Astyanax mexicanus: one gene and its partners. The protein of the gene in region 1 interacts with the protein of each later gene in a pairwise test. Links are inferred from orthologs where the notes say so. Each region holds a gene or a part of one and is shown in the gene's direction. Other genes may lie near its edges.

What was found.
Region 2: the proteins of transcription elongation factor A N-terminal and central domain-containing protein (region 1) and tarbp2 interact in binary tests that used the Homo sapiens proteins (3 or more experiments, as listed by UniProt). The two-hybrid records come from large-scale screens. The link is inferred for Astyanax mexicanus from reciprocal best matches to the Homo sapiens genes TCEANC and TARBP2.
Region 3: the proteins of transcription elongation factor A N-terminal and central domain-containing protein (region 1) and csrnp1b interact in binary tests that used the Homo sapiens proteins (3 or more experiments, as listed by UniProt). The two-hybrid records come from large-scale screens. The link is inferred for Astyanax mexicanus from reciprocal best matches to the Homo sapiens genes TCEANC and CSRNP1.
Region 4: the proteins of transcription elongation factor A N-terminal and central domain-containing protein (region 1) and obi1 interact in binary tests that used the Homo sapiens proteins (3 or more experiments, as listed by UniProt). The two-hybrid records come from large-scale screens. The link is inferred for Astyanax mexicanus from reciprocal best matches to the Homo sapiens genes TCEANC and OBI1.

Annotation. Positions count from the first base shown.
Region 1 is NC_064428.1:21,510,148-21,516,670, forward strand, and holds transcription elongation factor A N-terminal and central domain-containing protein, read left to right. Parts: upstream 1-4,484; 5' UTR 4,485-4,531; coding exon of another isoform or gene 4,532-4,556; 5' UTR 4,557-4,798; coding exon 4,799-5,872; 3' UTR 5,873-6,014; downstream 6,015-6,523.
Region 2 is NC_064412.1:10,608,630-10,616,073, reverse strand, and holds the start of tarbp2 (RISC-loading complex subunit tarbp2), read left to right. Parts: upstream 1-4,426; 5' UTR 4,427-4,633; coding exon 4,634-4,683; intron 4,684-6,338; coding exon 6,339-6,656; intron 6,657-7,139; coding exon 7,140-7,209; intron 7,210-7,334; coding exon 7,335-7,444. UniProt on the Homo sapiens protein: Required for formation of the RNA induced silencing complex (RISC). Component of the RISC loading complex (RLC), also known as the micro-RNA (miRNA) loading complex (miRLC), which is composed of DICER1, AGO2 and TARBP2.
Region 3 is NC_064408.1:94,696,108-94,703,152, reverse strand, and holds the start of csrnp1b (cysteine/serine-rich nuclear protein 1b), read left to right. Parts: upstream 1-4,023; 5' UTR 4,024-4,224; intron 4,225-7,045. UniProt on the Homo sapiens protein: Binds to the consensus sequence 5'-AGAGTG-3' and has transcriptional activator activity. May have a tumor-suppressor function. May play a role in apoptosis.
Region 4 is NC_064412.1:53,333,118-53,341,142, reverse strand, and holds the start of obi1 (ORC ubiquitin ligase 1), read left to right. Parts: upstream 1-5,005; 5' UTR 5,006-5,131; coding exon 5,132-5,203; intron 5,204-6,203; coding exon 6,204-6,339; intron 6,340-6,695; coding exon 6,696-6,790; intron 6,791-7,088; coding exon 7,089-7,310; intron 7,311-8,025. UniProt on the Homo sapiens protein: E3 ubiquitin ligase essential for DNA replication origin activation during S phase.

The DNA of each region.
Region 1 (6,523 bases):
AAAGCCAGCCTATCTCAATGCACCTCACCCTATTTTACGCTGTTGTCATGTTTTGCAGAGTCTAACAAGTTTGGCCCTGTTTCTCCCTGTTTCTCTTTCTCTCTCTCTCTATCTCTCTCTCGTGCTTTTTTGTTCTCCCTTTGCATCAAGTTTACACTTGCAACACAGCACCAGCCAAAACCTCAGCCTTACTGACAGCTATTTGTCAAACTAATGCAAATTCCAAGATGACTGGCTCAGATGTATGCAAGTCATACACTCTTTTCTTTACCAGTTATTCTAGATGTTTGCAGGATGTTTGTCTCTTCTGTTTTAGTGGATAAACACTAAAAGTAACTTGATACACCAACAAAACAATGCAAGATGCCACAGCACCCGTCAAGCAATGGAGTGTGGGGGTTGAGGAGTGAAGAAGGTCATGTGATGTCATTCAGGAAGACACAATTGGCAGATTCAAACAGCATTGAGGACTTGTGGGAGTGTTGAGAGAAATCAGCCACTTTAGGATGTGTGTGGACAGCAGAGAAGAATATGTGGGAAACAGGTCATTTATAGAGTACTGCAAGAAAGCATTAGGAATAAATTACAAAGCAGTCATTTGATGGTCATCAAGACCAGTTTTTGTCTGTCTCATTTACACAGCCCCCGGCCCTTCTTCACACAAGCAAAGTCCATAGTGAGTAGATGCTGAACATCTTAAGTTTGCTTCTAAAGATTCTGTCGACCTAAAAGAATCAAACGACCGCACAGTCGTGCCAGACTGTCATGCCGTGACTCAGAATGGCAGTTTGTTGTCACACATCACCAACCAGGAGGCCTGGTGTCATGATGTGGGGTACAATTTTGCATGATGACAGATCATCTTTGGTCTTCATTACAGACATTTTGACAGCTCAAAGTTACATAAATGAGGTCCAGCAACCAAAAGGCCAACCTTTTTCAGAAAGCACATTCAGGTACACTATTACAACAGGACAATGCTTGTCCATATATTGTTGAAATTTCAGGAGTTTACCATGACGACACTACTGAGGATACTATGCCATTGCCAGCCACATCACCAGACCTCTCCCTGACTGAAAATGTGTAGGATGCTACTAGACATGCAATCAATACACCACTCCTGAGTCCTGCCACAAAATCTGCAGGAACTGTGTGAAAATATTCAAGCTGCATGGGATGCATAATCACAGGACATTATTAGGAACCTCTACATGCACAGGCGTTAAACATACACTACACATTACGTATGTAGATGTAGCTTAAAAAATACAAACAAAGAGTTGTCCATGTCTGTCTTCAAACCAACACTTCCTTCTGGGTGTAACTATTTTTGTAACTATATCTTTGAGAATTGTCTAAACATCTACTCCTTTTAATGGACCGGGCCTTTAATAGACCGGGCCTATCTAATAATACGCTGACATTTCAGTGTCATACTTCACCAAATTAAAGTGAAGCGAATAGAGGAAATAAACAAGGGTACTAAATAAAATCACACACTCAGAGAAGAACAAACTGGTTCTTTGTCATCTGGCACTGAAACAGTGTCAATTAGCTTAGCTTGTGATGAGGGAAGTAGTGTGAAGGAAGCACCAGGGAATCAGTCAGAACAATTGATACCCTTCAGACCGTAGCTCCCACTCTGCAAAACGGTATTTAGCAGAAGTTGCCTTGTTTTCCTGATCAGAGACCAGTTCCTCAAGTTAGTTTACAATAGCCTTGTTACAGATTTAGACAGTGGAAGTTGGTCACAGATCAGTTTTTAACAACATAGCTATGAACCCTAAGTACTGAGCACAGCAGGAAATGCTTCTTGCTCATTTAAGCATGGAGTCTTTAAACTGTGCGCTTCTACTGCACTCTAGCTGCAGACAGAGGAAACTGTGGACTCAGTAAAATTCCACTCGCATAAAAGTGATGGGACATCCGATTCATATCAATGAACCAAATGTCCAATTCATTGACTCTCAAAGTCAAGACAAGTCAGCTTTTTATATCCTGTCCCTACATACTTTTAGAAACAGAAAAAGGAGGCCATCTACAATCTACAGAAAGAGAAATTGGAAAAAATAAAATGTTTGAGTTTGATTTACCCAACAGCTGCTCAATATGGAGTTACAATGTAGAGGTGGACCAATTCACATTAAAGCTAAATACATATATTTAACTATTCAAAACACACAAAAACTTGCACAACTAAACATAAAGCCTAAACACTACACCCATGATCTACAATCCCTCAGTCCCTTGGGCACTGCATCAAGAACTGTCATTGAACAATAGTGGATAGAACCACATGAGCAAAGGATTAATTTTCAAAGCTTTTGTCAAGCACAGCAATACTAAAGTACATTCACAAATAACACCTAAGACTTTACTGTGCAAAACAAAAGCGTGATGTTATCCATGTCCAGAAGTGATGTCAACTTCTCTGGGCTCATAGGCATCTGGGATGGACCGTCCATGTGCATGTGCTCTGGGCAAAAGACAAAAATGACCATCCAGACTGTTATCAGCAACAAGTCATGCATGGGGTTGTTTCAGCACAAATTTGTGATGGTAGCATTAATTAAAAGTACATAGAGATTTAAGAGAGTAACAGATGCAGCCTATATGACAATTTTTTTTCCAGGGACATCCATGCATTTTCAACAGTTCCATACGCTGCACACAATGCAAAGGCTGCACATGTCTTTAAGGTGTTGAGTAAAGATATGAGAGTATTACAAAGTAGTAAAAGTTTTATCTTTGCAGGCCTGAAATGCAAGAATAGGGCCCTTTCAACGGATCAATTCATTCATTTTTGGACATCGCAGCTGCCCACCCAAGTAAGTACAGACTGGACGGCAGAGGTGCAGACATGTTAGTCATCTCACGCCTGCAGGCCCCATGCTTTTAAAAGCAATTGTGCCTAATGGCTTCTAGTTGAAGGACTCCAGGCCTGATAAGAAACCAGACGTTCCACTCAGTTCTCAAGGCCTGTGGTTTTCGCAGCCACACCCGAACGTACTTAATGGATTACAACAGTAGGGGGTGGGAGCCGAGAGGTAAACCAGTTGCAGAGTTTTTCTCAGTGTTTTTGTATGTGTTTGAACCTCTCAGGTTACTACAATTGTGGAGAAAATTAGAGAAGAATGTCCTTTATACTGTTTGTATGTAAAGTTTTGAGCCTTTCTTCTTTAGTCATATATGAACTACAGGATATTAACAACCCCCCTGTGGGAGTTCACTCTCTTTAAAGTGGCAGGAAATCACACCAGACCAACACGACGTGTCCCTTGGGTCAGGCTGGTCATGAGCGCTCAGTTCATTCATTCTTCAGGGAGGAGAATGGACATAGTGTTATGGCATTTGAACTAAGGGATATCACAAGACAAACACATAGGCTAAGCCAGTACAATGGAGCAGATAGTGTGTGGGTCAGAATGAGGGCATTGTTGAGCCCAATAAACACATACCTCTGTATTATAAATCCCCAGTGGTATTATAAAGCAAACTATTACAATAAAAACCAACTTGAATACACATAGTTGAGTATAAGTCAGCTTATCTGAATAAAAATGGTCAATTTTACACAATAAATGACAAATGTTTTAAGACCAGTTTGTTGGTATGTTAAATACTCTCTCTATCTTTGCACTCTGAGATATACTACGATGTAGGTATTTTTAACTGGTCTTAGTTTTAGATTTACTAGTAGACTACACATATTAAAATAAACAAGAAATACTTGGGATATATATGTGGTAATGAATTATAATATGAATGAAGAAGTATACTAATAGTACACTTAAATAAACCGATTTATATTTTTTTGTAAGGGTTGAGCTTTACAATTCCCAAGAGAATACTGAGTGTTGTGTTTTGTGTAGGACTGATTCCCAGTGACACACTGTCCTAAACAAACTAATACTAATACTTTAATAATAAATATAACCTTTAAATGTTTTTAACACATCGTTTTTGTAGTAGGTTGCTGAAAATAAAGGACCACTTAAAATTTGGAATATTATCAAGAAGAAGATGGATGATCACAAGCCATCAAACCAAGCTGAACTGCTTGAAATTTCTACCAGGAGTGGTATAAAGTTATCCAAAAGTAGGCTGCAATGAATGCATGAAAACTGTGATTGAAAACCAGGGTTATTCCACCAAATATTGATTTTTGAACTCTTAAAACTTTATGAATATAAACTTGTTTTCTTTGCATGATTTGAGGTCTGAAAGCTCTGTATCTTTTTTGTTATTTTAGTCATTTCTGATTTTCTGCAAATACATGCTCTAAATGACAATATTTTACTTGGAATTAGGAAGAAATGTTGTCCGTAGAATAAAACAACAATGTTAATTTTAGTCAAACATATACCTATAAATAGCAAAATCAGAGAAACTGATTCAGAAACTAAAGTGTTTTTTACGGAGCTGTATATTTTTTGACCAACTGCGCCATCCAGCGCCTGAGTGAAACACTGTCTCTGAGAAATCACAACAAACATGGCGGCTCGGAGCTACAGAAATACGAACTGAAATGAAGAGGCTGAATAAAGAATACGGTATTGATTACAGATATTGAATCAGACATATAATTTTTACTGCTGTAATGATTGTATGGGAACAGACAGTCCGCTTTTTTAACGTACCTCAGCCTCTTCTGTTCAGAATAATAACAAAACATTATCTCCTCAGGCTGAGAGCTTTAGTTAGCAAGCTCATCTAACTGGCTAACTAAGTATAAACTGAATGAAATGGGTAACTAGCTCAACTACAATGCCAGTTTTGAGTCCTAGCAGTAGCTATGGACACCAAAGAGCTCATATTCTACGCTATTCAAATAGAAAAACTACAAAAAGGTTGCAATTATGAAGAAGTTTCATCTCTGCTTGCAGACTTGAGCAACAGTCCTGTAACATTAGAGCAGCTGCAGACCACTGACATCGCCAAGACCGTTTATCAGCTATTAAAATCATGTCCAGTGCAAACTAGTGTTCGCAAAACAGCAAAGGAACTGCTCTCAAAATGGAAAGGGATGTACAACTCATCCCAAGGACACAGCAGTACCAAAGACACAAGTCAAATAAAAGAACATGGACCACCTGAAATGGCTCAATCTGTTCCAAGTGCTGAGACTGAAACAGTTTTGGGCCCAAAAGTTCAGCACAGTGATGTCCAACAGATGTCAAGTTCTGATTCAGATCTACCATCTTCTAAAATCACTGCACTTTTACTGAAGGCAGATGATAGCAAGTCCACAGCTTCAGTTCCAGAGAACCACAACGGAGAAGATTCTAGGGTTCAGTCTACCAGTTCCACAGACTCCAAACCTGTGAGAACCAAGTGTGTGGAGCTTCTTATCCAAGCCTTGATCCCAGACCAGAAACCCACAAACCCAGAAGACACAAGACAGATTTCCACCCTAGCTCAAGCCATTGAACAGCACATTCATGCTCTCCACAGGCAAAACCAGGCAAAGTACAAGTCCTGTGTAAGAAGCAGGGTGGCCAACCTGAAGAATCCAAAGAACCCTCATCTTCGCCAGGGTCTTCTGACAGGAACCCTAACCCCAGAGGTTTTTGCCCGCATGTCTGTGGAGGAGATGGCAAGCGAGGAGCTCAGGAGCCTGAGGGAAGGATACACTGCAGCAGCTATTAGTGAACACCAGCTACCTCAGCAGCCTGAGGGGACGACCACCACGAAAGTGCGCTGCCGCCGCTGCCAGAGCATGAACTGCAGGGTGACCCAGGTCTCCCGCGGGACCCTCTTTCTGCCCTCCTGGGTGAGGAGTGGAAATAACGACGAGGACGCCATGACCTTCATGACCTGTGCTGAGTGCGGGGAGCAGTGGTACCATAGTCGCTGGGTATGCCTCTAATAAATAAGCCTAGCATTGACTGTGGGCAGGTTGCATGACTGCTACAGTGGCCCAGAGAGTCTGTACATCCTAAACAGCTATGTTTACATTCAAAATATTTTATATGTATAAAAATATTGAATAAAATATTTACATAACAAAACATTGGTATATCTTATTTGGTGGCATGTATTGAGTGTTACAACAAAATTGTTCAATATTTAAAACCAATAGACTTGTGCATATATACCTTGCTTGGGAATAAACTATAGGGAAATTGCATTGCGTGCTTTTAAACTTTTATATAGTATATGGTGTGCCAAAGAACCTATAATGTGCACCATGTGTATATATAATGATTTTAGAGTCATATAACTAATGAACTATATTCATTAAGAAATGGGAAAGAAAATCTGTTTTTATTTTTATTTTTTTAGAATATTAAGAGCATTGTACACAAACCATTCTAAACAATTATCTGAATGACTGAAAAAAATACACACACACACACATATATATATATACAGGATTTGTTTTTTAAATTGGGTATTTTGTCAATTATTATTACATTTGTTGGGAATTTTTTTTTTTTAATTTTCAGTTATCACAATAAAACTACATAAAATTTTGATAGCGTTAACAGTGACAATAATGATTATGTAACAATGAATC
Region 2 (7,444 bases), on another chromosome or scaffold:
TAGTGTTAGTTGTTTTAGCTCTGTGGTCTTAAATCATCTGAACCTGCTGGCGTTGCCTCTCTTCCCAGGCAGTTAGCTAACTAGCTAGCTAGCTAACGATAGCTAAACAGTGGCCATAGTTAAAATGGAATTGGAATTACTTTTGAGAACGACCGTATTGCCAATAATATTTACTGTAACCGAAGCTTTAACGTAGAAGCATTGTCCGGTCATTAAGTCAATGCACTAACCAGAGCTAGGCTGATAAGCCAATCTAAGCTAAATCAAAGAACCGTCTTTGGCTAAATTCGCTAAGCTAGCGTTAAGTTATATAAGTTTGTGGCACCCACAATTAACCTAGGCAACTGGGGGCAATATCAAGTGCATTTTGAATAGCCTGAAGAAGTAAGTTTATGTTAATATTACATAAATAAGGCAATTTAAAATAGTTTGTTGTGGGAAAACATTTATTAAAATAGCTTAATATGATGTGTGAGAATTAAAACGGCACGATAATTCTGGTCAGGTGTTAAATGTGTATTCCCGCCTTTAGCTTAGCGTTAGCTTAGCGTTAGCTAAGCCATAGCATGAAGAAGTAAGTTTATGTGAATATTACATAAATAAGGCTATTTAAAATAGTTTGTTGTGGGAAAAAAATTATTAAAATAGCTTAATATGATGTGTGAGAATTAAAACGGCACAATAATTCTCGTCAGGTGTTAAATGTGTATTCCCGCCGTTAGCTTAGCGTTAGCTAAGCCATAGTGTGAAGAAGTAAGTTTATGTGAATATTACATAAATAAGGCAATTTAAAATAGTTTGTTGTGGGAAAACATTTATTAAAATAGCTTAATATGATGTGTGAGAATTAAAACAGCACGATAATTCTGGTCAGGTGTTAAATGTGTATTCCCGCCTTTAGCTTAGCGTTAGCTAAGCCATAGCATGAAGAAGTAAGTTTGTTAATATTACATAAATAAGGCAATTTAAAATAGTTTGTTGTGGGAAAAAAATTAATTAAAATAGCTTAATATGAATGATGTGTGAGAATTAAAACGGCACGATAATTCTCGTCAGGTGTTAAATGTGTATTCCCGCCGTTAGCTTAGCGTTAGCTAAGCCATAGTGTGAAGAAGTAAGTTTATGTGAATATTACATAAATAAGGCAATTTAAAATAGTTTGTTGTGGGACAAAAATAAATGGCCATCTTCAACATTTTCTGAGATTTCTAATTTGTCTTTTTCTACTTGTGCAGATGGAGTCATGAAATGTGACGGGACAGCCACCGAGGACTTCATACTTCGGAGCATCTCAAACATGCACCACAAAGACGTGGAGGACACACCGCTGTCTCTCAGGACCTAGAATCTTAATGAAAGTATAATGATGTTAAGGGAAGGTGTAATGTAAAGTTGTAATGGTGTTAAGGGAAGGTGTAGTGGAAAGGTGTAATAGTGTTGAGGGAAGGTGTAATAGTGTTAAGGGAAGGTATAATATTGTTAAGGGAAGGTGTAATGCAGGGGTCTCAAACTCATTTTTGCCGAGGGCCACATTGACATATTGGCTGTCCTCTGAGGGCCAGATGTAACTTATAAATATGAGAAAATGTAACCAGATGTAATATAAAATGAATGTAATTACTCCTTAATGTTAAATAACTCTCAATATACTATTTATTCAATCAAATATTACAGTTGCATGGAAAAATGTTTGCTTGTTGCTCTATTAACATAAATCCTTTTAATTTGTCATGTTATGAAATCCAAAAACTCCATCAATCAAGAACCAAACTATTCAAGTGAATAGAAATTACATCAAGTACAAGTTATATTAACTTTGATCAAAACGTTTGATACTGAAATAAGGCTTAATAAATATAAAATCAAAAATTGTGAGCTGTGACAGATTTAGCATTTCCTCAGATTTAGCAGTTCCTCATCCAACCACTAGTCGGAGCTGCAGCTGCAGCACCACAAGCCCGCAGTCTTTGCTTAGTCAGAGCTACAGCCCAGCCACGGGCTACAGGACTCAGCTGAGGCAGTCTGGAGCGTTTTGAAATTTTTTAAGTTCTTCTGTGTATGAAATAAAATAACCCCACTAACCGGATAATACAGCTCTCTACAGTTCATCTTTCAGCCCAAGCAGCTAACAGCAGCAGTTTAGAGCAGCGTCACGGAGGCACTGCTCAGATTACATTATAAACAGGTCAGTTAGCGCGCTGCTAACCTCAGGATGTTTATAACTACGGAGTTTAGTGGACACAAGGTCTGCAAGGTTAGACTGTTGAAGGCTACTGAAGACTACTAAAGCAGGCAACGCAGCGTAAGCAAAAAAAAAAAACACACACACACACACACACACACACCAAAATACAAGTTAAGATAAAATATGAAAACGAACATAATAAAGCATAAATAATTAAATTGAATTGCGGGCCAGATGTATGTTTATTTTGTTAACCCGTGAGGGGCCGTATGAAACCGCGTGGGCCGGTACTTTGAGACACCTGGTGAAATGTAAAGGTGCAATAGTGTTGAGGGAAGGTATAATATTGTTTAGGGAAGGTGTAATGTAAAGCTGTAATAGTTTTAAGGGAAGGTAAATGTTTAGTGAAATTGTTATGGTGTGAATCTAAGGTGTATGTTATGTTGATGTAAAATAAAGGCATTAACCCCAAATGAGATTTACTCATTATGTTTATTATTATATTAATGTTTCCCCAAACAGAAAGGGTCAATTTAAAATCAACAGTGGTAAGATGGGGGTAATTAATTTATCCCTTGCTTTTACTGGTTCTTTGCAGGTTGACATGTTTTGGAAAAAGTGAGAGGGTTGAAATGCAATTTATTTGTAAAGCATATTGTGTATAACTAACGTGCATAACTAGTTCCAGAAGGTTGTGAACCTGTTCCAGTAATTGTTTGGCTTAGCTTTGTATGCGTTTCCAGTTATCTGCTGAAGCTGGAACAATGGAACAGTTGCCACCGTCTGAAATGGCACTACAGTTATGCAGGGAGCCTCAAAATAGTTGGTCTATAAAAACATATACATGTAAATTTCACGTAGAAAAGACGTCCACAACGACTTAATTTAAACTAGAATTAGCCCTTATCCGGAGGTCTGGGGGACGTCAATACTGGACGTGCAGAAGACGTCAGAAAAAAGACGTCGTCTGGCGTCACAGTCTGCACCTTCAGGAGACCAAAATTGGACGTGCAAAAATGACCTAGAAAAGACGTCGTTTCAACGTCTCTTTGTTTAGTGGGTCTTGTTTAGATGACAATTTTGCACATCTTTTCATTTTCTCAGTCACCTGAAATGGCTTTCAGTTAACAGCTGTGCTGAACTTAAGAGATAATTACTTGATTTTCTTGCCCTCTTAATGTGTTTCAAAAGCATCAGTTGTAAAGTTGTGAAGATGTTGAGTTGGTATAGAGTAATACGCCCTGTTTGGGACTACTCAACTAACAAAAAATAAATATTTTCATCAAAATATAATTTTCATTTTTATCTGCTGCTTTTATATTGTGGCCAAATCCTTCACTTTTTAATTGAGGAACAGTGTACATATTTCACTTTAACTAGTCTGTATTTTTAATTAACCCTGTCAAACGATATATATATTTTTGTTTTTGTATTAGGGTTTAAAACTAATATATATATATATATATATATATATATATATATATATATATATATATATATATATATATATATATATATATTTATATATATATTTAATATTTTATTGTTTTAAACTTGTAACTTTTATTTTGAAAAGTGGCGCTATTGGTGGGCATCGCTCGCATGGTGCATTCCATACTAAAATTACTGGAAGTTGCAAACTGTTTTCAAACATAGGCGCTTTGGCCGATAGCGTAATATTCAGTAATGTGATATTAAATGTGTAAAGGTTTTTAAATACGACACAAAAACTCGACGTTATCTACTTATCTAGTCAAATTAGCTCGCTTATAAACGTGTCGATAGAGCAGTAAAAGCAGCGTCCATTGCATATATATATGTATGTAACGCTGCATCAGTTTTACTCCCGGTGTTATGACAAATTGTGCTACCTTGTCAAACCGTGCTACCCTAGTGTTTCTGGTGTATATTTAAAGGCAAAAATACAAAAAAACAGAAAATGAGAAAATAATCCTGTCAGAAGTCTATGTAGAATATTCGGACAGGCTAAATTTCTGAATCAGGTAAAGTTATGGTCATATAGATGATTAGAAATCGTATTTTTTCATTATTATTTTACAGTTTTACAAAAAATATTTTTGCCATTATTTTTTATTAAATTGCAATTTACAGTTTTATAACAGATAAAATATCGTGGCATTATCATAAAATAACATCACAACATTTTTAAAAATGTGGGTCGGCGCATGCGCAGTGCCGTTACGAAGCACATATTTATGGGTAGCGTACCTCGGCAGGACACCCTGGCCTGTGGCGCGCTGCTTCACTGCGATATGAGCGCTGCTGTGGCTGTGTGATCATGTGGGACCGCTGGAGTAGGGGTTGCCCTTTCGTGTCACAGGTTTCCCTGCCATGAAAACTGCTAGCTAATGATATCAAGGGGGGCTCGTTTACTTTGGGGGGTTTCTGCACTCTTAAACGCGTGGGATTTCTATCTGTTGTTGGGGAATGAATGACGAGAAAAGCCCGGCTAGTAAGAGAAACTCTGGGTGTACCAGGTGAGCTGCTTCTGCTTCAGTGCTGGGCTGGTTAGCACACGCTGAGCTAGCATTATAACCCAGGCCTCTGCTCCTGATTTACTGCATTATATTCAGATACATTATTAGCCAGGGTTTAAGATTAGTGTTGTGCATAGTAGAGCTCATACCATGTGGTGATAGCATTTGATAATTGTCTGTTTTCAGGGTAGAATAGTGGCTAGACACGCTGGGTGTTGTGTCAGAGTTGTGCTACCCATAGATTTGTGCTTCTTAACCAGTGTTCTACCTTGTCAAACCGTACTACCATAGTGTAGTTATATTTAACTGTAAAAAAAAATACAACAGTAAGTAGCATATTAGAGCATGTTACCAGCAGAAGTCCCAGTAACATTAGATGTATGGATAGTTTGGATAGCATGAATCACTGTGTCAAGGTAAAGTTATGGCAATGAGAGGTCTTTACAAACTGCTTTTGTATATTTTTTGGATAATAATTGTTGTACTTATATTTTTTTATTAATTTCCATTTACTATTTTGTGCAATGACAGTGAGTCCAAGTTGTTTAATGCACAAAATATAGTTTTATTGTTAAAAGAAATCATTAAATAATCAATAAGTGTGGGTCAGCGCATGCGCAGTGTCTTTACGAAACACGTACCGATGAGTAGCATAATTCGACAGAACACCGCCACTGGGCATGCGCTTACTCACGTTTTTATGTTTTCATGTGTTTTTTTTTTCTTCCATTTTTTCTAATTCAGTTTATAAAATTAATCTTTTTGTGTGTCTTAAACAACCTGAACTCACTTTTATTATTTGCCTGAGTGAAACAAACTCTTAACCCTCTAGTGTATGGCATGATGTTGCCCTCAGGCAACAAACCATCTTTTTGTTCTTACGCCATTCCATACCAAACCTTATCTTTTATGTATTAATTTATGCTATTTTTAATATAATAGTACAATGCATATCTACTCTCAATTCAATGAGGCTTACAGCCAATTATAACCCAAAAAATGACAGACGAAGACCAATTGGTACTTTTAGCAGTGTGGGCAGTGTGCCAAGTCCTGCTGAAAAATGAAATCTGCATCTCCATAAAAGCCGTCAGCAGAGGGAAGCATGACGTGCTGTAAGATTTTCGGAGAAAACACTGCACTGACTTTGAACTTGGTATAACACTGTGGATCAACACCAGCTGAAGCATCTTGGCATTTATGTGTCTCCACTCCTCCTCCAGACTCTGGTCCCTTGATTTCCAAATGAAATGTAAAATTTACTGATGGTTTGGAGAGCCATGTCATCTGCTAGTGCATCAACAATAAAAGAAATAATCGCTTAATATAGATCACTCCATGTAATACATCTATATAATATGAATTTCTAATTTTGAACTGAATTAGTAATTTAAAGTAACTTTTCAATTATATTCTAATTGAATGAGGGACACTAGTATGTTAAAGTATATCTGGCTGTTTTTTTCTGTATTTTTCTTACATTCTTGTTGCCTTTGGTCAGCATTTGTAGATGACTTTTGTTTGTCCTATCATGGTAAAACATATTTGTGTATCTACTAGTGATTGGGGCATAGTGTTGCCCAAATACATTATTAGCTATTTTTACACCATTAGCAAGCTCAAGATCACCCCTGACACTCTTTTTCTGTTCTTAGTATTGAGCAAATGCTGGCTGTGAACCCCGGAAAGACACCCATCAGTCTGCTGCAGGAATATGGAACGCGGATAGGCAAGACACCAGTGTACGACCTGCTGAAGGCCGAGGGCCAGGCCCACCAGCCCAATTTCACCTTCCGCGTGTCTGTGGGAGAAATCAGCTGCACGGGCCAGGGCCCCAGCAAGAAGGCTGCTAAACACAAGGCTGCAGAAGCCGCGCTGAAGATGCTGAAAGGAGGGATGCTGGGAGGGTTAGGGGAGAACGGCATGGAGGGAGATGGGTTTGTTGGAATAGACATGTCCTTGGACGGAGATGGGTAAGAACTATACTAGTTGCCAGTTAACCTTAATGTGTAATGTTGTCTGAGCTACCTGATATGTTTTTTGATCTTCATATTCAGCCTAATCCTCGATATTATCTCTAAGGTTATGTGGAGATTGTAATAGGCACATCAGATCAGTTAAAATATGACTGTCCACACTGTTATTTGCAAGTAATCAGATTGCACTCTTTGATGAGGAGTTTGGCATTAGTAACTCTGGATTTAATCAGGTCACTGTTTGTCACATCGAATTGTAATCACATTTCAAACCACCTCCAAATGTAGCGTTATGTGTTGTCTTGCTACCCAGGCTGTTAAATATCAATCTGGATACAATCTAGGTATGCCAGAAATCAGTTTTGTGCTGGTAGTCCGAATAAAACCTTTTTTTTTTTAAATGAGCACAATCTTGGTTAAAATACATACTTGGGCATTGTGTCTTGTGCTATTTATTGACTGCATTGACTGGTTCCACAGCTCCCAGTCAGAGATAAAGTCTTCCAGTTCCAGCCAGCAAGCTGAGTGTAATCCAGTCGGTGCTCTGCAGGTGAGGGATTAATGGATTTTTATGTAAAGAACTTCAGAATAGCAGCGTCTCTTAATTCTATAAGTTTAATACAATAAATGTTGGTCTAAATTGAGGTATTTATGAATCTTCACTACTTTTTATAGGAGCTGGTGGTGCAGAAAGGCTGGCGTTTACCCGAATACACCGTCACACAAGAGTCTGGGCCTGCACACCGCAAAGAGTTCACCATGACCTGCAGAGTGGAGAGATTTGT
Region 3 (7,045 bases), on another chromosome or scaffold:
GCAGGAGACTGTGTAACACTCAGGGCCATGTGACATGCTGTCGTGACAGTCCGTCCAGACGGGCATCAATAATGTCTAAAAGCACAGAGGAGACAGCGAGTTAATCACGGACAGTCTGTCTGCGTGCTCAGACACCGGGGACGCAGGGGAACTGTCTGCAGGGCCAGTTTTTACAACCCCATCACCACCACAGAAACAAATAAACACACCACGGCTGAGGTGAGAACAGAGCAGCCGGCGTAAACATCAACACCATCACTTATCACTTAATGGTGTCATTTAATAACAGAGAAAGGCTGCTCAGCCCGATACCATCAATTTAACCCCAGAAAAAAGATACAGCTGGCCTGCCATGCTCCTGTGTCCAGTCTATTCAGTCAAATGAGGCTGGATCGTTACCTTCTAACCCTTATAATCAACAAACATGGTTCTGAGAAGAGCAGAATCCTTTTTGTAAATGACATTTAAAAAAAATATATGCACTTATAGTATACAAGTATACTATGCTAAAAAATACATGTGAGAATAAAAAGAGAATAATAACAGACCATCATATCTTTGTGGCAGGGACTGTAGCATAAATACAAAAGCACATATCAAAAAACACTTGAAGGAGAATGTCACCCTAAGCAGTTTGGTGTAAAATGCTCTGTTGTAAAGAAACCACAAGTCAGAATAGTTCACAGGAGTAGTGGTGGGCTGACCAAGCATTTATAGAGACTTATGTCTCTAAAAGCTTTTTCCTAGATTATTACACCAATGATTATGAACACACTGCCTGTCTGATGCATGGGACAATGTTTTATGCCCTGGCAAACTACAGCTATTATACCCAGTTCTTCAATTAAGGCAGCAAACCTCTGTCAAAATAAGAAAAGACCAACCTGTACAGAAATGCTAATTTCTATTAGAGCCCTACTACGAGGCTCTAATAGCATGTTAATGCGAAGCTGACAGCAGTGCACTTCAATTTTTTTGGCAGTAATATATGCTATTTTAGCATGAAATAAAAAGAAATCAGAACCAGATAGGTTGATTCAGTTCAGTTCAGTTTTGTTTGTTGTCTTGGTAATTAATCTGATGCATTAGGCATTTGGTTCTGCTTGTGAAGTCCCAACCAATACAAGAGCTAATCACAAATCCTGATTGGACATTTTTTTTCAACCAAAACATTCAAATTCAGTAAGAAGAGTACTGTTATACTTTTAGATTTTAAATACAAGCATTATTGTACTTAATCATTTATATTTAGTGACTATTTACTAATTAATTTTATACCAAATAAAATGATAGATTCTTTTAATGTAAAAAATATATATTCTAAGTCATTTTAGAGCTATTCTATTTGTCATGTGTCATTAACTGAAACAGATGCAAACTATGTCAAAAATTTAAAATGAAAAGAAAAAGATACAAGGTTAACCATGATGATACACTATGGCCTTAAAGGACTTGAAGACAATATACTATGGCTTTTTAAGAGTCAGCAGGACATGTTGTTCTAAATGGACCAAACCCGTCTGAAACAACAGTCCTTAATTAGCAGCCCTCAATTAGTCTACTGTAAACCCTTCTCACAGTTTGTCAGAGGCCCTTCCCCAACTGCAGCTAAGCCCTACACCTGAGATTACACTGGAAGGACAAGCTGTTCACTTTCAGTTCTGCAGAAAGAAAAGCCAGGAGGTTTTCCATTCGCACACAGTGATGCAGTCCGCTGGAATCCAGTGCTGTACAGGTGTGGGTTTGTAAATAATGCTGTTAGGGAGAGTGCAGCAGCAATGCAGCAGGGGCGGTTTCTGAGTCTGAGGAAACGGGACGGTGTCATTCTCTCCAAGGCTTAAGAGGAATGATAATGACTTTTTATACATCAGATGTGGCACTGTTGCTTTGTTTCAGTTCACACCCAGACAGTTTGGTTTGGTTTTAATTTGGCTTCCAGATACTTGCCCATTAAACAATCTTATACAGTACCATAATAAATGTTATATAAATTGGCACAATACCACCAATATTGAGTTCTTTTGACTTAAAAAAAATAGTAAAATATAGTGAAGAAAGAACCATCTATTATCTGGTTATCAGGTTAACACCTGTCAGTTGGTAGGATCTACATGATTCTTAAAGGCAAATAAACAGTTCTTCAAGTTACAGTGTAAAAAACAGAGAAATGGGTAGTGGGCATAAGATCAGAGACACATGATGTATGGTGATGGTTAGACCACTGGGACAGAGCATCTGCAAAACTTCAGGCAGGTTATGTGGGGTCGTCCCAATATGCAGTGGTTCAAATCTACCAAAAGGGTTCCAGGCAAGGGCAACCAGTGAACCAGTGAACCACTGACAGGGTCATTGGCACCTAGGGCTCAGTGATGCACATAATGTGCTACAGATTAGCCCATCTGGTCTGACCCCACAGAACAGCTTCTGCAACACAAATTACTGAAAAAGCACATGTCTTGACATGTCTGAGGGGCATACTTAAATGTTCTAATGTTAAGGCTGATCTGTGTTTCTACTTTTAAGAGACATTAGACTTTTATAAAGCTCTTCACTTGAGATGAGCACTTAAGTAGGCTATCCTACTCAAACCACTCAAACACTTCACGACCCCACAGGAAGAAACACACAGATAACATCACTTTGTGTGAGTGTGTGAGATTAGTTCTACGATCAAATCTGACATCAGATTCCGCATTTTCTGAATTGTAGACTCTGTATTTTGACAGAGTTCATTGTAAGCCTTGACAGACAGTTTGTGAATTTCATAAACACAACAACATGACTGGTGCTAAGTGATGTAAAACCTTGTACATGATGTTTTGTGACTCATGAGGCGGACGGGGCTGAGTCAGAGAAGCTGGGAAACAACAGCAGCCTACTACATACTGTAGGCTGACTACGCCTTTTACATGAACTCCCTCTCTTTCTGTTTTCTTTTAGTTTTCATGCTCTTAAACATTAATTTCTAAAAAACTTGCTTTGTCTAAGTGTTTTATATCAATACTTAGCTCAAAACAGAACAGCCCAAGTTCAACCTCCTTGTTTTAAAACCATCTGGAATTTAAGTTGGGGAAAAAAAATATTTACTACATTCTTATTTCACAGTCGTCATTACATTCAGTTGATATAACCACATACTTGATGTCAGGATGCCCGGAAAGGAGGAAAAGGCGTGGGCTGAGCCTCTCCATAACTCACGTTATTATACCTCTACCCGTACTGCCAATCGCCCCGCCCACTCCGCGCCGTGATTGGCTCAAGAGTTCAGCCATCACAAGCAGTCCCGCTGTTCTGGCTATGTTCTGGAAAAACAAAGCCCCGCCTCTTTTATGCTAGGTTTGAGCAGTAATTCAGAAAAACGCTTAATAACGCTGCTTTGTTTGTAAAACATTAAATTATGTATTTAAATTAAAAAAGTTGTTTTAGTTGTTTTTACCACGAGTGTTAGGATATATGTAAAGCCTGAGCCAATCGCTGTGCAGGAGAGGCGGGTCTTCAGCGCTGTGGATCAGCAGAGCAGACCCGCCGGTGTTCTGTCGAGTTGCGCTACCTGTCGATTTGTGCTGCTTTACAGCACCGCGCATGTATTAATTCTCTCTCTTTTTTACTATTTTCACGTTTTTTTTCCTGATCATTTTGTTTTTATTTGGTACATTATACAATTTAAACTCACTGACATTTTTTTGCTTGAGTAATATTTTTTTTTACAACGGTGAACAAAAATAAAAAAAAATAAAAACTATAAAACGGATTCTAATCAACTATATTTTGCCTTGGTTTTACTCTGATACAGCTCTTTCGGCTATTCAAATATTATATCGATGCCTTTACAGCGAGCATGTATTAATTTTGTGTATTTTTTACCTTTAAATACACTATGGTAGCACGATTTGACAAGGTGGCACATCTCGACGGAACACCGGCTCATTCGTAGCGCAGAAGAGGCGTGGCCTGGCGGAAAGCGGGTAGGGGGAAAATGACGTCCGGGCGCCTGCGTCAGACGCCGGGAGGGAGTTTTCCACAGAACACAGAGCCAGTCTGGCTCAGACAAGGGACACGCTTCAGCACGGACGGACCTTTAACATCCACACACAATAAAACAAATCAGATCCAGTAGAACGGAGGCTTCGCGCGCGGATTCGCTTTGTGGATTATTAACACTGTTTCGTCTACACGCCTTTAACTGGAGATATCACTAATGGTGATCGGATTCGCTAAGTCTTGGTGAGTGGTTGTTATAATATTTTTTTTAATAAGGCTTTTTTTTTTGCTTTATTCTTGCTTTTTAAAAAGGCGTGTTACTAATGTCTAATAGCGAGATAAATCATAGCGGATCATAAGATGGTTTGGGTCAGTGGAATACGTAAAGAAATTCCTTATAAATAAAATAAAATTGTAACTTAGCTAGATATAGTAATAATAAAAACAGTGTAGCGTTAGCTGGCTTTCGTTATTAGTTGGTGTTTAGTTTGTTTTACCGCTGTTTTAATGTCACAGATGATGATAATGTTGATGTCGAGAAGGCGGTTCTGTGGTTTAGTTATATAGTTATAGTTAAACTGGAAATGTTGACTCATTTGTAGTTTTGTACTTTTTACGTTGTGTTGGTTGTAGTTGATTTAAGTGTGTGAACAAGCTGGAGCACTGTACTGTCCCCTGCCGTGGCGAGAGACTTCAGCACAACTACATTATAATAGCTTAACTAAGTTCTTCTGTTCTGAATATTATGAATGTTATGTTAACGCTGGCTAGGTAATATACCAGTCTGTCTGAATGTCAGCTCTCAAATAAATTAAAGCAGTCTCTGGCTGTGTGTGTAAAAGACAGCGGCGATAATTAAATGTGTGTTTGAGGAGGATAGGTATATAGATGCCTGTGGTAAGTTAGTGAAACGAGAGCGACTCCTTAAGGTAAGTAAACTACAGCCTGCTGAGACTGATATTAAACAGAAGGGGCAGCAAACTGACTGATTCACAGCGATAGAGCTGCCCTTTAATTTCCACCGGCACCTAGTGGCAGACTCTGTTTCTGCCTGCTGTTAAACGCAGTGCTTTAGCTAATAATAACTACATTAAAAGAGGGCTTCTTCGGGTTTAGGTAACTTAGCTAAGCTAATTCGCTAGCTTACTAGTTTATGTCTACGTTTATGACCGTTAAAAAGGAAGCAAGACACGGCTAAACATAACATAAACTAACGTTATTAGGTTCCAATTTTCTTGTTTAACATTATATCTTATGAATAACTAACGACAGTTACTTCGACATATTTAGCGTCAACTAGGTTTAGCTAATTTAGCTTTTTAGCTAATTGAGACCGTGAACAGCTAAGCTAACTAACGTTAATTAACGTTGTTCACGTTAATTTAAATATAGCGATTGTTTAACTGTATAAGCATATTTAAAACCTGCAAATGAGTACATTTAAGTTTAAGGTATTTAAGATAACCTATTGTTAATAATAAATAAAAAATGAAGCGTTAATAAAAGCTATGATAAAAAAGTATAGCAATATAAATTACATAAGCTAACTATATCTATAAAATATAGGTATATAATGTAGGTACGATTAAGCAGCTTTAATTGACTGCATTAATCTGTTTTATACATTGAAAACCAAAATAAACAATGCAAGCTTAACTACTTAACTAGTTAGCATCGCCAGAAGAGTGTGTGTGATTGTTAGCTAGCAATGCAAGATTAACTGAAGTCACGCTGTGAAAAAAAAAAACGTATTCTGTTTGAAAGTAGTATTAATATTTAGTCTAGTTTATCTCTTAGCTGAACTTAAAATAAAGGAAAGACCTACCTATCTATCACATATAATTCAGTGTAATTTAGAAAATTCCCCTGTGTCCGGGGCTCCCAAAGTGTCTTTGTAGTGAAATTTCACTTTTGCTTTTGTTCTAAGCTTGTTCTCTTGACACTCCTACTAACCTGTGCCAACAGTTGCTGAGCAATTTATCTACCAAGAGGGGTATGATTTCCCCTTTGGGTCTTTAGATTCTTGCAATGGTTCTTTGTGTTACTCTTAAGGAAGTAAATCATTTGCTTCTTTGCAATGATGTAAAACTAAATCAGCTAGAATCTGTATAGATTGTTATGTGTCAAATTTCATCTTAAATATATGGATGAAATATCATAAAGGAAAAGTGAGTCTGTGCCAATCCAGCTTGGTGGTGTTATCTGTGTGTTTCTTCATTTAAAGCACTTCAAAACATTCTTCTAAAGGTGAAAGATCAGGGCATGATTTCAGTGTTGTATTGAAAAAGGTGTTTTGGTGGTGTCTTACAGTCTCTAATACAGTAGAACACTTGTATTGTTTAAGGAACAGCCTTGTTAGGTGAACTTGTGGGGCCACCTGGCCAGGTAACCTCAGCCAGCAGTAATGAGGTCAGCACTGCAGTCGCAACTTGCCTCTGTCTCGCTCGTTTCCTCCTGTTTGCACCTGAAATACACAAACAGTCAAGACCCCATGTGCGCTTCCTAGTGGAGACTTCTCATGCATCACAGCATGCAGGGTATTACACAAGTCCAGAACACTCAACTGTGCTATTTGAGTTCATCCCTCTCTGTCTGTCTCTCTCTGTCTCCCTCTCATGTGCAAAGCCAGTGGCCACATTGTTAATCAGTCGGCCTCCTCAGAAGCCAGGACGCCCCTGTTTTGGAGCAGTTCGCACACAGTGCTGAGGCTTTTGTGTCGAGGGGATGGAGGGGGTGGGGAGGCTGCTGCCTCTAAGGCTGTAACCCATGGGGTCCCATCTGTTTTGTCAGTCTTCAGCATTCCTCCCAGCTTGTGAGGTACCAAGCAAGTGTCCCAGACCACAGCGTCCTGTCTCTTTTTCTCACACACAAACACACATGCACACACTCCGGCTGACCTGCTCCCTAGGGAGGCTCTTATAGCAATGGGATGGAAAGCCACTGTCTGTATTTTTATTAGCTTTTATTAGCCTGGCTAGAGTGCTGAGCAAGTCGAGGGATAACATTGAGAAGTTAATGCGGAAGGCATGCTTTGCCCCAGCTTTGCATTTCAGATATTGATGCA
Region 4 (8,025 bases), on another chromosome or scaffold:
TGCTGTTCTCCTGAACTCTACCCTGCAGAGAGGTGATGGAGCTTAGGTGAGCGTCCCACTGCTACAGCGAGTCGCCATGGCACTCTCCTCCATCTCCACAGCTATCTCCATCAGGGGCATCACTAATCAATACATTCCTCCTGCAGGGGGTGGGGGCAAAATGTCTAAATCACCACAAGAGTTCAGCCACGGCATGCTAAGCTAATCCTGTTCAGCCAGAGTCACTGAAAAACATACCAGACTAGAGGTAGCGGAGCGTGTCCCTATCTGTGTGTATCTGTGTGTGTGTGTGTGTGCAGGGAAACAGGTGGGGGGCAGGACAGAGGGAAGGAAGGAGGGATAGAAGGCTAATTAATGTAAGCATTTGTCAGTGATTAAGCTTTAAACAGAAAAGGTCAGGCTAGCGGTGGAACCGGGCTTCTCCCCGATGCTCTGCTCTAAGGCAGTCTAAACCTTTCCAGCCTAAATGGTAAAGATGCCATTTCGCCGTGTGTGTGTGAGAGCACGCGTGGAATGGGGGCTCAGGCCGGACGCTCGGGTCACCCTCCATTACCCCGGCCAAGCTAAATCTGCCGATCTGTGTCATTTAGGGGATGAAAAATAAGGCCCAGGACGAAATCAATAGACGCTGGAGTCTCGACCAGCTGTGATTAATTGACTGTCACCAATTAATGAGCGAACGATTACAAACCACTGGACTGAGGCATGTAGGGGGTGAAATATGATCTTAGGAAAGATTGTGGAATATTTTGAACGTTGACTATTCTTTATTTAGACACTAGAGGTTTTTAGAATTTTTTTTAATTAGTTTTTTTGTCCAACATGTGCAAGGAATTTATGTAAAGAACTTTAACATAAAAATATGTTCATAAGGTTTTTGTAACGAAAGTAAACACAAGATTACAGAAATTATTAAAGAAACACTTACTTTTATACTCCAACTAGGTCTGGGCAATGTAAAGTATATATCAATATTCAGATAGTAAACAATTTTATGCAAGATATAAAATTGCCACGTTCATTATTTTTTAAATTTGTAATAAGTGTAATATATGCAAATTTGTTAATTCCAAAAAGGTGCATGGGTTGTTTGTATGGTCTCATTTCTAGAGGGATGTCCAAAGTAAAGTATAGTGCAAAACATCACCATTAAAGGTGGCGAGGTCAGGCAGGACACAGCGGAATATTCCTTTTAAACACTGAGACAACTGAGACATGGCATCATCTGAGGTGATGATTCACTGGGATGAATCATAGTTCCTGTAAAGTATGAAATCACTGCTGCTTTAAAGTTCTGAGGCATTACGAGAACATCATGCTTTTAGGTGTCTGTCATGAGTGTGCATGTGTGCATTCCCATTACTGTGATGTCACTAACAGCACAACACAGAGATACTGCATGTTTGAGGCTTTTCTTAAATGACTTCCATAGTTCTGCTAATCCGTAACAAGACCACCACTTTTGAAAAGTGTGGGACATGATGTCTGACCAAATAAGAATAAAATAAAAAAAGTAAGTCTATGCAATGTACAATCATAATTTATTAGTCGATTTTGTTGTTAGCTTTTTGGTTAGCTTTTTTCATTGATATTCCGGCTTTAATGTCTTATTTACACTAATGAAATCATGGTGGATTGGTCGAGGCTAATATTTACATTGTTACACTGCGTTAAACAACAGTTCATACGTTTTGGTGAGAATGTGTAATTGCAAAGAGCATGATGGAAATTATTAAGTCTTTTTTATGTTGCCAGCTCTCTTCAATTCAAATTTTGTGTGATTGAGCAGATGAAAACTGAGTTTGTCATTCTGATACCACCATGTTTACAGTAACTACGGTAGTAGTGTCATAAGCAGCAGCATATGGCACAAGATGGAACAAACTGTAACTTGCAAAACTGTCTCTTAAAATTATATTAATAAATCCAAAGAATCCTCTGTTAGTCTTGTCTTTTTTATGTTTTTTTTTTCCATTGTACTGTACCTGTACCGAACCGTAAAGTCCAAACCATGGTGTGAACTAAATTGTGACCTTTGTGTACTGTTACACCCCTAGGTATATGTAATGGCATATGACTTATTTCAGGGAATTTAGTAGAGTATCCTCATGCATTATACACAATGCTGACTCACTCAAGAGCAGAAATACTGACTCAACACAGGTCAGGAATTTCTTCATGCTCAAGTTTACATTATTTCATATCTTGCTGAATGTCCTGCATGCATTTTTAAAACGACAACTATATACTGGTGTAGTTTGGGTTTCTGAAGCAGAGAGGACACATTCTGTGCAGTTTTCTTGTGTCTGAAGTTACTGTTGACATGTTTTCACTTGCACAGAAGACTCATACTGTGGGTGTTACAGTGGTACGAAAAAGTGTGGGCACCCCTTATCATTTTCATGATTTTCCTTTATAAATCACTGGTTGTTTGGGTCAGCAATTTTGGTTAAATGTATCATATAGCAGATGAACAAGCAAATTAGACAGATGCATACATTTGGACACTCTTGTCATGCAGAGGGCGCACCCATCCTATGGTCATCTTAAAAGCAGATAAATGAAAAAAAGCTATATTGGCCTTTTAATAAAGACACAGAGACATTTATGAATATGGAATATGTATGAAATACTATCTTCATTTGGAGATCCGTTAAAATGTTTTAATACTTTGGTATACAGTACTACCATTAAAACTCCAACCTTTCAATGCAAGTCCAGTTCATGTTATTAACAAAGCAAGCCGAGCCAATATCATTAGAAAAGCCACTGGCGTCCTGCGGTTGCCCTATAGTGATCTGCTTGGACATAGACTTGTCTGTAGGACATACACCACACAATGTTTTATGGTTAGACAGTAGTGGATGGTGTGTTGAAATGAAACACTTGCAATAAATGGCAGTAATGCAGTTCCAGCATCAACGTTATGCTGCAATCAATGTACAACACAGTTTCCCTGTGGTTCAATTCTAATCAGGTTAGGTCACAAGGGCTCTAAGATGCACTGCCATTAAACTACAAGACAATGAAGCCACAGCATGTTTCTGCCATTTGGCAATGAGTTTTTCAATTCAATTCAGCTCAGTTTTATTTGTAGGACACAAAAGCCCAAAGTGGCTTTTCTAATGAGCATCGCCGAGGGAGAGAGGGAAAGAAACTGCCGGTGAGAATCAGGAAGAAACGCTGAGAAGTACCAAGACTTTCTATGAGTGAGAGGAAGAAACACTAGTGTGGGCTGCAGAACATAGTATAATAAGGATACAAGCCAGACAGCTTTTTAGGACACAGGGACCGTACTGAACATGGGTAGAGAACTGAGGGCTGGGGTCCAGCTCAGTTTGGTTTCCTCACTCTACACACCAGCTAAACTTTCCAATTAACAGGTGAGTTGAATCAGGTGTGCCCTCCAGGGCTCCTGATATAAGGGTTGGAAACACCTGTGCTTAATAACACTAATTTTGTACTCAGCTAAACTTTCCATGTTGGAACACATTCATTATGGTGGATAAAGAACACAGTGGAATCACAGACTGTAACATCACCAGTGGTGGACTAAAAAAGGCAGGATATTCCCAGCTAAGAAAGAACATATTAACGCATTTCCATCGATGTAAAACTGACACCACTCTGGTTCCCAAACCTAATTTTGAACTGTTTGCCACGTTTCCACCAACAAAATAAATTTCAGAACCGAACAGACCTAATGGTTTTTACAAGCCCAAACGGAACTGGTTCAAGAACCAGAGTTCTTTTGGTGGAAAAGCGCTCTATAAGAATGTTTAGCAAGGTTGTTGAACCTTAAACCTTAAAAGTTCCAGGAATGTTATGAGAATGTAACATAATAATATCTGCAGCACAATGTTATTAAATTATTTCTCACATAACGTTTCTAGTTAGATGAACACTAATGCTATGGAAATGTTAAATGTAACAATACTCAAAACTAAAAATAAATACAATAACACAAAAATATTCTAAGCACATCCAGAAAACCTAACCCTAATTAACCCTTGATGGGGCACAGCTGTTAACTGAAAGCCATGAAAGCTTGGTGACTACCTCATAACGCCAAGATATCTAAGCAAGAGGTGCTACTTTAAAGTATTTAAAATATAAAACAAAATCTGGTTGGTTTATTATTTTTTTGTTTTTTAAATTTCTTTCTCATAGTTTGAATGATTTTAATTTAAAATGCTGATTTTTTTTAAATAATGGTACTGGTACTGTGTATGCTTAGCTTATATTGACTGGTTCACACTATTTTGATAACTCAAAAATCCTGCATTTGGTCTTCACACTGTAACAAAAATACAGTTTAATTATTCCCAAGTCTTACCAGAAAGTCTTGTTGTCCTTTCCCTGTGTCCTTTTAGTGGATAGTGCTGTTAACAAGCTGTAGCCGGGTTAGCTTTTAGCCTTGAGTGATTAGCTGGTGTTTGGGAGTTAGCTGAAGTAGCTAGCTAGCATTGGCTACAGTAGCTGGGTTAGCTTTGCTTTTAACTGTGAGAGTGACTCTGTGAGAAATGACTTTCAGGTTACAGGTTATTTTAGTTATTTTTTAATATTATTTATTTTTATGAGTTTAGCAACTTAGCAACCTAAATTTTAAGGTCTTAATTCTCTTTATATAAGTTACATATATTTGACATAACAAAAATAGAAGGAACGTCTGAAAATGTTCTTAATATTTGTTTGCTAAGCTAACCACTAGCTAATTTGTTAGTTAGCTATCTAGCTTCCAATGTTTTCTCTAAACATTTTATATGCCTGTTGTGTATATACAAATATAAATATTTATGCACAATTGTTTAAAATATTTATATATATGTATATATATATATATATATATATATATATATATATATATATATATATATATATATATATATATATATATATTTAATATTATTTTCATTTAATTTTTTACCCAAAAGTCCGTAGCAGGGTGTGTGTTTATTTCCCAGCGCTGCTCAGCTCAGGCTTCTCTCTTCCTGTGGAGATTTTGAATCGCGTTTGGTTCCTCCGGCTCGCCGTAGCGCGGTTACCGGCGCTGTTTTGAGTGTGTGTTTTCTCCTAACGCGCGGAGTTTACAGGGTTTTAATCTGCATGTGTTTGTTTTAGAGACTGAAACATGGCGCAGACCTGCCAGAGCGTTACCCTGTCTTTAACTCTGCCCATCTCCTGCCAGATCTGCCTGGGGAAGGTAACTAATGCAGTGAGATTACTGAATTAATGAAGCAGGAGCTGCTTTTGTTCTGCCTGCTTTCACCTCACCTCACTTACCCAGACTCATATACTGAACTCCGGAAAAAAAAGAGATAACAGATAACTAACATACTATTAAACTGTTAAAGTGTTTTCATGTTTTATATTTAGTTTCTGCTTTTATTCGTTGGTTAGTTTGGCTAGTGCTTTAAACCTCTTGCTCTGATGCTCTGTGTATATTTTAGTGTGGTGCGGAGAGGCTAATACCTGACCTGAAAACAGTTTAACCTACTAAAGTACTTTAGCTTAATGAACTTAATAGTTAAAACAGTCAGTAAACCCAACTTATTTATTACTTTAAGTAAGTACACTCCTCTACTGCTGCTCTATATTACAGGATAAACCTAATTATTATTAAATATTACCAATATAAAAGGAAAGACTTAGTATTTGTACAAAACAGTAGCATAGGAAAACCTGACTTAGCTAACTAGCTTACTTATTTATTGCTCTTGTAAGTATCCTTCACTGCTGCTCTCTACTGCTGTAAGGTTGAACTTTGGTCTAATTGGAAATAAATACATATTTCCAATATAAAAGGAATATATAAGACTTAATATGGTTTAGTGTACGAAAAAGCAACATATGAAAACCTTAGCTCACTAGCTAGTTTACTTAACCTGTACTCTAAAATAAAGTCAATATTATTAACAATATTATATTATTTTTGTTCCTGTTGATACCAGTTATAAGAAATAAAATGTGGTTTAATATACTAAAACAGCCACAGAGTTGTCTGATCACAGATTATATAGAAATGCTATCTAAGAATTGTGATTTTGGCTATATTGCCCAGCTGCAGTGTCTTTTCTCGTATGTATGTATGTATGTATGTATGTATGTATGTATGTATGTATGTATGTATGTATGTTTATAATAGAATAAGTAATTTAAATAACTACTATTATTGGACTCACACAGTTGTCTTCTCTCAACAGGTTCGCAAACCCAAGATTTGCTCCAACAATCATGTGTTCTGCTCGACCTGCATTGACGTCTGGCTTCAGAAATGTAGCCAGTGTCCCACCTGCAGAGTGGCCATCACCCCTGAAAACCCATGCAAAGAAATCATAGGTAACAAGCTGTGGAAGTCCACTGAAGTCCTGCCATGTCTAGTCCTGTTTGTAGTTCCTGCTCTTTTTAGTGGCAAAAAATTTAAATTAAATCAAGTTTTATGGTAAATTAAATATGTTCAGAACCCTGTATGTTTTTGTTTTGTAAGCATTGTTCTCCTTTACATAAGTGGATCTTCAGTATTATGGCAGTATTATTAAGCAATCCCATCATTCAAATAGTTCTACATGCATGCTAATGCTACTGTGCATCAGTTACACCAGAGTATACACATTATGTTTATTGAACATTTATTTACTCTACATTGCCACTGCATTGAAACTGTCTTATTTATCTATTTTTTTATGTGATAATAGGAGCAACAAATGATGACAGCGAATCAAACGAAAGCCACTCAGTTAAGAAGCATCTCAGAAAAACCCGTGGGGAATTAATACTGCAAGAATACGAGGTTTGAAAGTTATGCTTTGCTTTTTTATGCACCTGGTACTTCAGTTTAATTTGTATAATTTTACATACTTATAAGTAAATGTCTCATAATCGGCTATATATTTTTTAATAGTTGATTATTTCTGTGTTTATTTGTCCTTCAAAAGAGCTATAGAAAGTTTCTGATCTGCTGATTGAAATGGTTATTAAATACTGATCTGCATAGAGTTTAGTTCTTCTTTTAGCTGTTTAACACCAGCTAAGTGTTTCTTATGTAAGGCACCCAGTCTGATTCACTGGATCACTGGTCTAACTTTCAGGATGAAATTGAAACCCTACTGAAAGAGAACGAGGAGCTGAAGAGCAAAAACCTGAGCCTCGAGACGCAACTGAAGACTGCTCTGGAACCCAGCACCTGCTTCTCTTCTCAAAGTGAGACTGAAGCCGTTGACCCGAGAGTTCTGGAGGAATCGGCCAATAAACTCAAAGCTGCCAATGAGCTCTATCAGAAAGTCAGACAGGATGTGGACAAGCTGAAAGAAGTAAGATGTTAATGTTTTAATATTCGCTATACAGAAAAGCCAAGCATTCCTAAAGGTTTCAGAAAGCGGTTTTTGGAGTGATGTCAGGGAATCTGGAAGTATGTGGAAGTGCCAGTGGAAAGAAATTTTTCACTTCAGTTTGAGAAAATAAATAAATAAAACATAACATATAGTTTCCATACAAGCACAACACAATTTAAGCGTCTTTAACTGACCGGAGATTGATGCTGTGTAAATCAATAATTAAGAGGTATATTAAAGTAAAAAGCCTCAAGAAATTTTGGCAATGTAACACTGCTAAAAACTTTTTGTTAGCAAAGCTTTACAAAGCAAAGTGAGCAAAGTGAACATTTTACCTTAATTAGGATTTATGAACAATTATATTATTAGAAAAGTGTTTTAATGAACAGTTATTTTAATTGATTATTTAAACATTAATTGTAATGTCACAAGTTTTTAGTTTTTTCTTTGGCACAAAGAAAGTTTGAAGGACTGTTTGTTTGCGCAAAATGCATTATCAAGATGTATTTTTTTACAATGCTTCTAGTAAGGAAAATGGTACTTACATTTAGATTAGATTTAAATTAATTGCCTAGCTTAGGTAGTGCTGGGTGTAATTTTAAAATTATTGATACAGGTATTGATACAATACTTTGAATTCGGTACTGATACCCAAATTATACTTTTTTTTTTCTTTCTAAATTGTAAAAAAAAA